2 linked regions of the Kluyveromyces lactis genome follow. Each later gene encodes a partner of the first gene's protein in a complex. Links are inferred from orthologs where the notes say so. Each region holds a gene or a part of one and is shown on either strand. Other genes may lie near its edges.

What was found.
Region 2: the proteins of RAD4 (region 1) and RAD23 are in contact, whole or in part, in a crystal structure (PDB 2QSF), measured with the Saccharomyces cerevisiae proteins. The link is inferred for Kluyveromyces lactis from reciprocal best matches to the Saccharomyces cerevisiae genes RAD4 and RAD23. Residues at the interface, in NP_011089.4 of Saccharomyces cerevisiae: Lys138, Arg139, Tyr142, Phe143, Met145, Leu146, Tyr147, Val149, Cys150, Leu151, Val153, His154, Phe156, Ile157, Arg158, Trp161, Gly224, Leu225, Arg228, Ile233, Glu234, Ser236, Lys240, Arg241, Lys242, Phe243, Lys244, Thr245, Leu246, Lys247; in NP_010877.3 of Saccharomyces cerevisiae: Leu265, Arg266, Gln267, Val269, Ser270, Gly271, Asn272, Pro273, Glu274, Ala275, Leu276, Ala277, Pro278, Leu280, Glu281, Ser284, Leu290, Arg291, Ile294, Met295, Ala296, Pro298, Glu299, Phe301, Val302, Leu305, Leu306, Gly347, Ser348, Phe349.

The regions. Positions count from the first base shown.
Region 1 is NC_006042.1:1,338,892-1,345,342, reverse strand, and holds RAD4 (Rad4p), read right to left. Parts: upstream 3,580-6,451; coding exon 1,276-3,579; downstream 1-1,275. Other genes in the region: VTC5 (Vtc5p), read left to right, coding at 1-9; SPT2 (Spt2p), read right to left, coding at 137-1,045; ALY2 (Aly2p), read left to right, coding at 4,130-6,451. UniProt on the Saccharomyces cerevisiae protein: Involved in nucleotide excision repair of DNA damaged with UV light, bulky adducts, or cross-linking agents.
Region 2 is NC_006041.1:1,972,453-1,977,922, forward strand, and holds RAD23 (Rad23p), read right to left. Parts: upstream 3,335-5,470; coding exon 2,183-3,334; downstream 1-2,182. Other genes in the region: putative acireductone synthase UTR4, read left to right, coding at 1,070-1,735; ANP1 (Anp1p), read right to left, coding at 3,910-5,262. UniProt on the Saccharomyces cerevisiae protein: Plays a central role both in proteasomal degradation of misfolded proteins and DNA repair.

The DNA of each region.
Region 1 (6,451 bases):
ATATTGTAAAGCAATTTTATAATAGTACACAAACTTCAAAATGTTGATTTCATTTGGATCTATGATTTCAACTAATGCATTAATTAATTGTATATTAGATGAATAAATGATATATTCAATTCGTACATTGACATGTTTATGAATGGCTTTTCTTCAGTTTCTTTTTCCTTTTTTCGTGTTCCTTTAACCAAGCTTGCTCCCTCTTATCTTCAAGCTTCGCCATTTTTGTAGCTCTTTCCTCTTCTTCAAAGATCTCCATTTCGTTAGCTTCCATATCGTCGTCATCATCTGAATCAAAGTATTTCCTTTTACTACCTTTGTTGAAGATAGACCAAATTTCATCTCTATCGTACGGTTGTGATTTGGAGCCTTGTTCACACTCGTCTAAATCATCATCTTCAATAAAGTCTGAGAGATCTTCGTCATTCTCACTGTCATAATGTTGATCTCCGTGTCTTGCCATAATTTGTTTCTTTTCTTTAAGTTTTAACTTCTTCGCAAGCTTTTCGTTTGGTTGTGCAAAACGGTTGAAAGACTTTACCATCACTTTCGACTTCGGTTCTTTTACAGGTTTAGCATCTTTCGTTGCCGCCTTTGGTTTAGCGGCTTTATCAAATCCGAGTTTCTTCGGGAGCGGCTTCTTGTCTTCCTTTGGTCCTTCCCTAGACTTCTGCTCTGCTCGCTTCATTAATTCATCAAACGATAGTTTCTTGATTGGCTCCCTTTTCGGTACCACGACAGGATACTTTCCGCTTGTGGTATTGACACCAGGTTTTTTCTTATAAATTGGAGCCTCATCCTTCGGCGATGACGCTTTATGCCTGGCCTTAGCAGCAGGTTTAGTCGATGTGGATGATATACCTTGCTTCAACCTACGCGCTTCCTTTAATCTTTGAATAGCCGGGTCAACTTCACGAACGTAATCCTTGGGAAGTAGTTTTTCTTCAGATTGAAGAGATTTAGCTTTATTTTGGTTTGCGGAATGATTCGGTTCATTAATCTTAGTGGTCTGCTTCAACTGCTGTAACTTAGCCAAGAAGCTCATTATTTTGCTATATCTTTGAAGAGAGCAGGAGTACTGGTAGATAGAATATCGATTAATGTATACTCACTGCACCGTAGCAGCGGTTAACAATACAGTCTTGTGCGATGATTGCTTTTGATCCACTGGTACATCAACTTCCATCATGATGCTTATTTTATGTTATGTATTGTTTCCATATTATTACATAGTCATTAGATACGCTACACTAATAGTTCACGTGATCTTGAGATTTATTCTGATTCATATTGAAATGAATCATCGTCATCCGATTGCGATCCAACTTCTTGCAAGAACTGTTCGAACTCATCAGCGATTTCGTTTGGCTCCGTGTTACTTGGTTCAGCGCGGTCTAGAGTTGCTTCACCATAGGTCACAGGTGGATGTTCAACTTGTTCTGTTTCAGATTCTGCATGTTGTAATTCTGGTTCAGGCACGAATCCACCATCCATATTAGAATCAAGAAGGAACCCACCTTGTTCGAAACCGCCCATTTCTGTGTCTTCTCCCGTATATGATTCGTGATCTTCTAGATCGCTATCTCTTTCACCAGAGTAATCTCTGCCGTCTTCATCTGCCACCGCACCATGTTCTTCAACCAATCTACTTTTGATCCTGAGTTTGGTAAGAAGGAGTGACCAGCCGTTCAAAGCCTCAAGCTCTAATTCATGTCTAGCTGCATCATCGTTACATTCTTCGATATTTTCTATTACAGCAACCAATGCGTCGACGTATTCATTCTCGACAACAACGCCGGTGACCTTAGGTTTAACTCTTCGTCCCGATTCGAACTTGAAACCCGTCACTGCTTTTGCAAATGGAACACGTAAGAAGCTTGCAGCTTTAATCGAGTTTGGATTTTCTACGAGACAACACCCTATTGGAATCATCCATGGTTTATAAATGTCAATATTACCGTAGAAATTAGTAGGGATTTTACCATCAGCATCCACTTGCTTAGGAATAACATACTCAGTCTGACCAATGGGGTAAAGCCTCTCTTCATCTTCGTCTTCTTCGACAGGATTCTTTATTTTGTGTGTCAAAAGATGCTTGGCACCCGACTTCAATGCTCTTCCTTGCATGTACCAGTGCCTAGCACTGTAACAAGATATTACATCTTTCCTTGGAAAAACTTTGAGAAGGGAGTTTGATTTATTACGAAGTCGAAGGAAGCCGCACTGCTGAGCACCCGGTTTCAATACCTGGTTTGCTCTCAAATCTTTCTCTAAGACGTAGAACGGATGATTCTTAATGTCTTGTAGGCTGTCTGGGATTCCCTCGTGTTCATTACGCAAATCAAAATATTCATCCTCATAATCATCAATCCTGTTCCTATTACGTTTATTCAAAAACTTTATAATGCTGTTAAACCATTCGTTCAGTTTAGCTTCTCTTGTAATCCTCTTTTTTCGAACTTTATTTTGTAAATGTGCTATGTATCTCCGAGATACATCTTTGCAGCCTTGTTTTCTATCGAAAGCGATGACATATCGCATCATATTGAAGGCTGAATTTATACGACCTATTGGTTCTAGTTTTGATTTATAACGCACTTGTTCAATTATTTCTTGACCAACGATATCGATAGTGATCCATTGTTTCGCAAATTTATCCCATACTTCGCACCAAAATATCGGATACTTTAGGCATTCATTTTCCAAGCTCCAAACAACTCGCTTATTGTAGATCTTACTATCAGTGAAATCGGGTGGTTGAAGGCTATGAATGAGTCTTGCGTTCAATCCACAACCTCTCAGCATGGTGACAAAACCCTGCACACTAATATTGGCTGGTCCACGCATCCTTGTGAAAAACTTTTTGAATGTTTTGAATGTGACACTTTCACACTTGTGCTTCAACACCGAATCCCAATGAACCATATATAAATGATTGAATTCGTACGGTGAAGTTAGTTCTAATTTGAACTTTTTGTTCCAATGTTTCATCAACATACGTAATGCATCGAGCAACTTCCGGGTACTTCTTAATGGCATCTCATCATCCTTTTGGGGATGTAGATTATTGAATATATCGTCAGACACCAGTTTAGCAAGCTTTTTCTGCAACTTCTCGTCGTTACACCATTCGTTCCTCTGATATGAGTGGCACACGAGAGTAAGTAGCATGAACATATGACATGTTTTACGAAATTCTTTCACTGCAGGGTCTAACCCATGCTCAGTTTTCTTCTTCTTCTTCGTAGACTTTTTCTGAGCTGATGTATCTATAGTAATTGATATATTTCCATTGTTAGCAGGCGCATCAGTGACATCTTCGAACTCTTCACTATCATATTCATCATCATCATCATCATCATCATCATCATCATCGTAGTTATTCTGTTCTTCATCGTCCGATTCGATGGTAATAACGACACGATTGCTCTCCGATTCCAATTCTGGTTCCTTCTGCAAAGACCTTAATTTGCGTCTCTTACGAGGTGAACTGCTACCGCTTCCGCCAGTTTTTTCCTCCTCTTGAAGTGCATCCTTAATCAAATCAAAGTATTCTCTTGATAATCTTCCGTCGTTCATTCATGAAAAGAAAACCGTTATTAAACTGAGCAAAACTAGCACTTAAAGATGAAAACTAGAAATAGAGTCGAACCTTCTTTGCATTGAAATCAACCCCGTAACCTGGTTCAACTGTGACTCTATAACTGTTCGTTATTTTCCTTGGCATACTACACAAAATCGGTTCCTTTTCCTAGGTTCCAATTTAAGCTTTTCAATATCAAAAAGAAAAGCTTTCAGTCTTAAATATGTCCTTTCAAGAATGTCTGCTCTCCAAAAGGCAACATACCTTTTTATCAGCTGTAGGGAGGTCGTTGGTAAGTGCCATCAGAGTTTCAAGGGTCTAAGTACGGTTGTCTAGTTTATTGCAGGTTGCAGGTACAGGATTTAAGCCAGAAGAAAGTCATCTTCAAATTTATTACTTGTTTATTCTAATCTTTTCGAGGGTTTTTCAGTTTAAATCGAACAATTGTTTTCGAAAAAGCGCAACTCAAAGGGGAGACTCTATTTTCTTTCCAACTCCCTAGGTAATAGCTGACCGTAGTTTCTGGTTCTGAACTGAAATCAAAAGATGTCTTTTGACCTGAGTCCGGTAATGTCACCAGTGTTTCCTTCGGATATTCATTTGGGAATACCGAAGGACGCTACTCCTTTAGCGAAATCAAGTTCTTTCCAAGTATACATTCAACTTGCTGAGCCTATAATCTTTTTGCAAGGGTTTAGTCCGACTCATTGGGAGGGAAGACCACCTGCTATACTAAGAGGATCGTTGATTCTTCGAGTCTTAAAATCTACAAAATTGAAATCTATTAATTTAACGTTCAAAGGTACGTCAAAGACAGAATGGCCTGAAGGTATTCCACCAAAGAAGCAAGAATTTGTAGAGCTCAATGATGTTGTGAAACATACGTGGCCTTTTTTCCAAAGCGATTTGCAAAGTGTTCCAAATAACCAGTCAACAGAGCCTGCTGATTTACTGAAAGGGAGTAACGCTTCGTTATTCAGGCCTTTGCACGATGATATGGATAAACCAATGGCCAGGAGGCATAGTAATGCACAGATGCGGTCTCTTTCTCCAATAGGGAATTTTTTAAGATCTACTTCAAAGGACATTCCAAATGTCAAGATGGTATCTGAAACCTTTTGCGACATGCTTTCTATTTCCAATTCTGTTAGTGATATTTCATCGGTGAAGTCTAACGGAAACTCGTCTTCAGCAACTCCTGGTCCCTTCATATTTCATCCAGGTGATTATATTTTTTCCTTTGAGCATGCTATTCCATTATCGTATCCAGAGACTATAACTGCTACGTTCGGTCAAGTTGAGTATTTTTTGCTTGTGAATATCGAACGTCAAGGTGCTTTCAAGTCAGGTGTAAACGCTAAGCTACCTATTACAATTGTAAGGACACCATCCGATAACTCAGTAGAAGAAACTGAACCTATTGCAATTTCCAGAGACTGGAATACTCATTTACATTATGATATCATGATTGTTTCCAAAGACATTGTGCTTGATGCATTTCTACCAATTGCATTTCGAATTATGCCTATGGATAAAGTCGCGCTACACAGAATAAGAATATTCTTGACTGAGACATTAGAGTACTATTGTAAAGGCAAGAAAGTTCACAGGCTTGAACCAACTAAAAAATTCCTACTCACGGAGCATAGAGCTCCTCCCATAAAAGATTTACCACCAGATGCGGTACCTACTAAAGCTAAATATTTGGGAAATTTATTAGAAGATGAACATGGTGATTTGGTAACTAGGGACTTCAAATATCAGGTATTTTTCCCAGAAAGGCTTAATTACCAACAAAAGATTCATCCGGACACTTCATATGGGACCATCAAATCAAATCATTGGATTAAAATTAGTTTGAGATTGTCGAAGAATGTTGATGGCGTCAAAAAACACTTCGAAATAAGTATTGATTCACCTATTCATGTCTTGAATAAGCTTTCTTCTCACGCAAATACATTGCTTCCAAGCTACGATACTCATGCCGCTATTCCCCACAGTGGCTCTGTACCATTCGGTGATTCTGATTTTAATATGTATCATGATTCGAATCTATATTTCCCAAAACAAGTCATTAACTCACCAGTTATGTCTCCGGAAGTTCAACCATTAGATGAGAAAATTGGATTATCACCTGTTTCGTTAAGTCCTGTGGCCCACAACAGAACCAGTCTGAGTTTACTGCAGCACAGAAATCTAAGCCATAGCGAATTATCAATATCGGAACTGAATTTAAGGAATAAAGTGTTGCAGTCTCCAGAATTATCCTCTAATATTTACCAGCCTGAGCATATTCATGCTGAATTGGCTTCACCTCAGGCATTACCTTTATCTCCAATTTCATCTCCCACTTGGAAACCAATATCGCTCGCACAAAATCAAACCATAGATGCAGTGTCTCTGGACGATGAGCTTCCACCATTTCAAGAAGCTCTTAAAGCAGAGTCTCTACCTGTCGATCCACCTACATATTCGGAGTCAGTTGCAACTGATGGTAAGACGACAAAGTCAAAAGCTAGCAGCGAGGCTTCATCGGTGGTGGTTCCTGAAATATGCCTTTCCAATACTACAGATTTGGTAGATGAAGACATTGCTGCAGGGTTCCACTTCAATGGAAATGATAGCGGATCTTTAAATCTTCCGACTGCAATGATGAGATCCCACTCACACAATGATAGGACAGCAGTTTCTCGTAAATCATCTGTTTCTGGGAGGAGACGCAGTAGCATTATCGTTCCTGATTCTCTACCATCTACTATCAAAAACTCAAGCGAATCATTCAACGACTTGGAGCACGTTCTTTCAGCAGCTGGTAATGATGAAAGAAATGGGCCTAATGAAAGTAATGGAGCTGGCGAAGGTAATGAA
Region 2 (5,470 bases), on another chromosome or scaffold:
GTTTGCTGAGTGGATGCAAAGATGTAATAGAGAAATATGTGAGTTAACAAACAACGAATAAGTAGAACCATCCTTCTGACAGACGCCCTTTATAAATAAATTTCAAGACTAATACTTGCTTCGAATCATCCTATTCCCTCATAATGGAACTTAAAGTAAGCAACCGGCAGGAGCTACCTTGTTTAGATTATCCAATGATATCTGTATTGCAATCGAGGTATCTACGCATAATGCATAATAATATCCTCTCACAAGCGACTCTAACAAAATGAATTGTTTACGATGTACCCCTACAAAGCGAAAAACCGTCTGACCATACTAACAGCAGGAAGCTTAGTTGTATCTCCCCTCCGCATCAGTTCAACTACGAACTGAACAAGATCTAAAGATACAGTCTTTCAATCGTTAAGAACAACATAAAGTAAATAAACAGAATTCAGCCTTACGATCGCTAGCCTATTCCCATCTTAGAATAATCACGTTATACATTTTGCCCCAAGATAATGTAACTACATAGAAGTAGTGCCATTTCATTTGACAACTGTAGATCGGCCTACCGAGAAACCTGTCAAAATGGATACCCTTAATCTTAGATTACCAAATTCAATCCACTCGAAAGGATTGTCTAACGCGGTTTTGCTACGATAGATAAGCAGGAAAATACTGCGCATTGTGATGTCTGGGTTCGTGTGTGGAACGTTCCGTCGTGATCACGTGGTTTGTGGCATATTTTCAGTTATTTAATTTTTGCGCCGTCTCCAGTATCCTCTTTGGGAAACCTTCAAGTTAAGCTAAGCTGCATTCTTTTCCTTTTTAGGAAGGTGTAGCCGTTGTCCAACATTGCCTATGCTTCATTCCATTCTCGCAAGACTGATTTCCGCATCTCATCTCGCAAACTGTAAAACTGAATATTTTGTAAACCTATTCCAATCTGATGTTCTTCACGACCATGTTGGTTCGGTACGCCTAGTGAATAGGAGCTTGGAATTAATCACAGTCATTAGAAAAAAGAGCTTTAAGGCACAGTTATTTGCGTTTACTGGAAAACTGAGATTTCAATTAAGTGACAATGAGTCAATTGAAATATATCTTGGACATTGAAGGTACGGTTTGCCCTATCTCATTTGTTAAAGACACGCTATACCCTTTTTTCTTGAAACAGGTGGAATCTCTTGTCAAGACTAATGACCCTACTTTGCAGAACTTACTTGCCCAATTTCCTGTCCCACAAGATGCTTCTTCTTTGCATGAACATATTGAATCGCTAGTTAATAACGACATCAAGGATTCCGTGTTGAAGCAATTACAAGGGTATATTTGGGAGCAGGGTTACAAGAGTGGTGAGATCAAGGCGCCAGTGTATCCAGATGCAATTGATTTCATTCAGAGACATGCTCCTAATGTTTACATATACTCCTCAGGGTCAGTAAAGGCGCAAATACTCTTGTTCCAACACGTAGAAGGGGACATCGATTTAACGAAATCCATTGCTGGCTACTTCGACATTAACACGTCCGGTAAGAAAACTGAACCTCAATCTTACACCAATATTCTCAAAAGCATTGGAGTGCCTCCATCATCAGCAAGTGATGTTGTGTTTATTAGCGACAATGACAAGGAGTTAGACGCAGCTTTGGATGTAGGCATCAGCACCATCTTGGCATTGAGGCCTGGAAACAACCCGGTATCTAATGCAGAAAAATATAAAGCGCTTAATAACTTCTCATCTATATAAGACATGTCTAAGGTACACTGGTTCTCTGAATTGGGACTAAGGATATAGTGTAATGATGAATAAATTTAAAAAAATTAATGAAGGGGATATCTGATTGATTGTAACACAAATCCTACTTGAAGTTGGAAGTAAGAGATCGAACATACCACGCTCCGTCTGTTGCAGATTGACTAAGGTTGGTTAAGTATAACTGCTCATTATGAGTGCGTATGTGTGCAAAAATTGGAAGATGAATATGTGGGATGCCTTCGCTGTAGTAGGAAAATCTGACGGTATAGAGGTCATACTTGGATTGGCAAACACTACATGCTGGAGATATGAGTACGCATATTCCATATTATTAAACAAATTTGGTAGAGATAATTATTTTTGTTTTCTATTTTGAACATATTCTTCTTTCCCTACATGCCTAAAGAGACGATGGTTTATTGAAAAATCATACTACATTCAATCAGCGTAATTGTTGAATAGCATGTTGGCAGCAATTTCTTCGTTTTTGTCACATGCGAAGTAGATTTGCACCACCAAGGTCCTCTCAAAACCCAACTCGCAAAGTCTATTGATAGCTTCTTCATCTTCTGCTGAGATAGTAACATTGGGAGGCGCGCCTTGAGTTTGTCCCCCGAAATCACCTAGATCACCTTCTGCTATGTCATCTCCCAGATTTTCACCCAAAGAATCGGTTAGGGAACCGCCAACAGCTTCTAATAGCAAAGAGATAAACCTTTGTGGATCTTGCAGCATGGTCTCACGGAGATGTGGGTAACGCGTGCTTAGACTCTCGAAAAGTGGCATTAAAGCCTCTGGACGCCCAGATACAACGTCACGAAGTTGTGTAATGTCCTCCATAGTCAATCCGATTGTGCCCATTTCTTCTCCACCTAAACCAGCAGCGGATTCATGACCTTGCTCGCCATTATTGGCTTCTGCTTGTGCAAATAAATTGTCTTCATGTTCAGTGAATTGTGATGGCACGTCTGTTGCAACTTCAGAATTAGCATTCGCCCCAGCTTCACTAGTTACAGCTTCAGCTTGTTGCTGCGATGGCTCACTGGCTTCAGGAATACCCATAAGCAAATACTCCACTGCACGGTCAGGGTTGTTGAATGCTGCTCTAAGCGCACGTTCTACTTGTTCACGATCATAACCCATTTCCATGATTCTGTTCACAGTCTCGTTACGTTGAGAACCAGTGACAAACGAAGCATCAGTCGTCCCTTCTTCTTGTGTAACTGCAGTAGTACCTGTTCTTGTACCAGTGGTTGTAGCTTCCGCAGGTGCATTTGCAACTGCAGAAGTTTCTGCAGAAGCAGTGGCTTGAGATTCATCTTGGGGTTCAGTTGTGGATTCAGTTACCTTAACATCAGCCTTTTTCTTAGTTTTGCTAATCATGAATATAACCTGATCCCCTTCCTTAAGATTGCATCCTGATACGGTCTTAGGATCCTGGAGTATCTTACCTGCGTAGATCAACTTTATTTGAGATGCATCGCACTGTTTTTGTTCAGCGATCAATTCCTTGGCGTGTGAAATGGTGGCATCATCCGCCAATTCAATAGGTAGTTTTTCCTTTTTGAAATCTTTAAAATTAATAAGCATTATGCTTGTGATTTTCTTGGACTTTGTCTCAACGGTTGTTTTCTTGACTTTATCTTCTTTGCCACCCAGCCATCAGATTCAAGTTGATTTGGCATTAATTTCAATTTCTTTCACTGTTCTCAACTTTCATTTTCGATGTTGACAAAAAAAAAAACTGAAGGTATCTGACAAGATGCAGAACTCCGGAATACGCTGAAAATTACAGCTTAATGCAGCTTGATAACGTGTTTTCAGTATTTGCTTGCCTGTAATAGTTACCAGTAGTAATATGGTTTGAAGTAAACAAAATGAACAGATTATTGCAAGTACAATATTAGTATATAATGCATTTAAACGTAAATGTAAAAAAAAGTCTATTGATAAAAACCTCGATAATGATCTAAGGTGCATATTGTACAACTAGATACTCCAACGTGTTACAGTCTGCCTAATAATTGAATAATAATAGGGGATGGAAGCGATGAGAATTGAAATTAGATGGTTAAGATATCTTTTTAAAAAATATCTCGTTAGTGAAGAATGTATTTGTGGGTTTTATAATCTTCTTTACTCTTCACTGCCTAAACAGAAAATTATTAATGAGCAGGATCAAAGTCCAGTGGTACTTCATGTGAATCTTGATTATTTCCTCCGTTCCTTGAACCATCATCTGCTTCATCATCATCTGACCAGTCCACTTGAATCTTCCTATCTAGGACATTCGGATCAATGTTCTTCAAAATTTGTAACCTTTCTAGCTCCCACTCATCTCTCACGTCATCGAAACCAATATCCCAAATTCTAGCATAGAACTCTTGAATTTTTTGCTCTTCAACCCGACGTTTCTCTTCCTCGGCCATCCAGGCCATGTGTTTCAAATCGTCACTTGAAGGTTCGTAAATGTGCCAGATCACATAATGAGGTAGACCGACAACACTGTATTGCATTCTACGTGATAATTTACCAAAGGCTTCAGTTTCAGCATGTTTCTCGAAAGAGAACGCAGGGAAATGAGAACCTGTTCTAAAGACCTTAGCTTTAGATAAGATGGAAACACCACCAATTCCGTCTAGTTCCATCTCGACCTCGGGATCGCCGCTTGGGTCTCTCATGTAGGCCAAATGTGTTCTCCATGTAGCGTATTCCGGGTACCCTTCTACGATACAAGCATCTTCATCCAAAGAATCAGCTAATTGTAATCCACCCTCAGATTCAACCCATGAGTTCAAATCATATGGTTGTATATTTCCCAACCAATCGGGTAGAGGTCTCCAGACGTTTGGAACAATGACGTCTTTATCATGATGCATTAAATCTTCCAAAATAGTATTCGGTATAGTTTGAACGTCGACATCTCTCCAGTACACGTAAGAATGATACGGCTTCAAAGCCGCTGACCCAAGCCAATTTCTAGCTCTGGCCATGGATTTTCTTCTAGGGCCTTGAGCTGCAAACCCGTGTCTATCAGAAAACGATTGACCCACACTTTGACCGAAATCTTTCTCAAAAATTTCAATGTTAGCGAATCTTCTCGATTTGTCTTGGTTTGATTGAGCTCTTCTCAAATGAGAAAGAAGTGTTTTCATGGTATCATCGCTTGAATCACTGACCAAAAATGAAAGATCAATCAAGTTATGTGGGTATGTCAATTTATCCAAGGTATCGAAGAACATATCCAAATGTGCGGCTGCATCTCTCAAAGGAACACAGAACACCACCCTATCACCGGTCTGCCATCCATTGGCATTCCCCTGATAATTAATTAAATCGTAATATTCCACTCCAGGTATATTTCTGAACCTGTTACCAGTTACAGGACTTGAGACGAACGGTACGAACTGCCATATGATTGGGAAAATCATTCGAATTATAAGAAACCCCGTTACCACTGATCCTATCACGGACACAGCAGTCAAGGCATTGAACCTGCTCTTACCCTTGCTGCCCATCTATGACGGTTGTATGACGTTGTGTAGAATATTTGAATTTCCAGGAATCGAGAATAGAAGTGATTTCAAAAGTAAAGAGCGATGGATCCGGATGTTTTTATTCCTCCACAGCTTTAGCGATTGTATTTTATTGTTCGAAGAAATTTTGATACCGCAATTTTTCACAATAGATCTATAAAATGCACGCTCGTCAAAAGATCCTTATGTG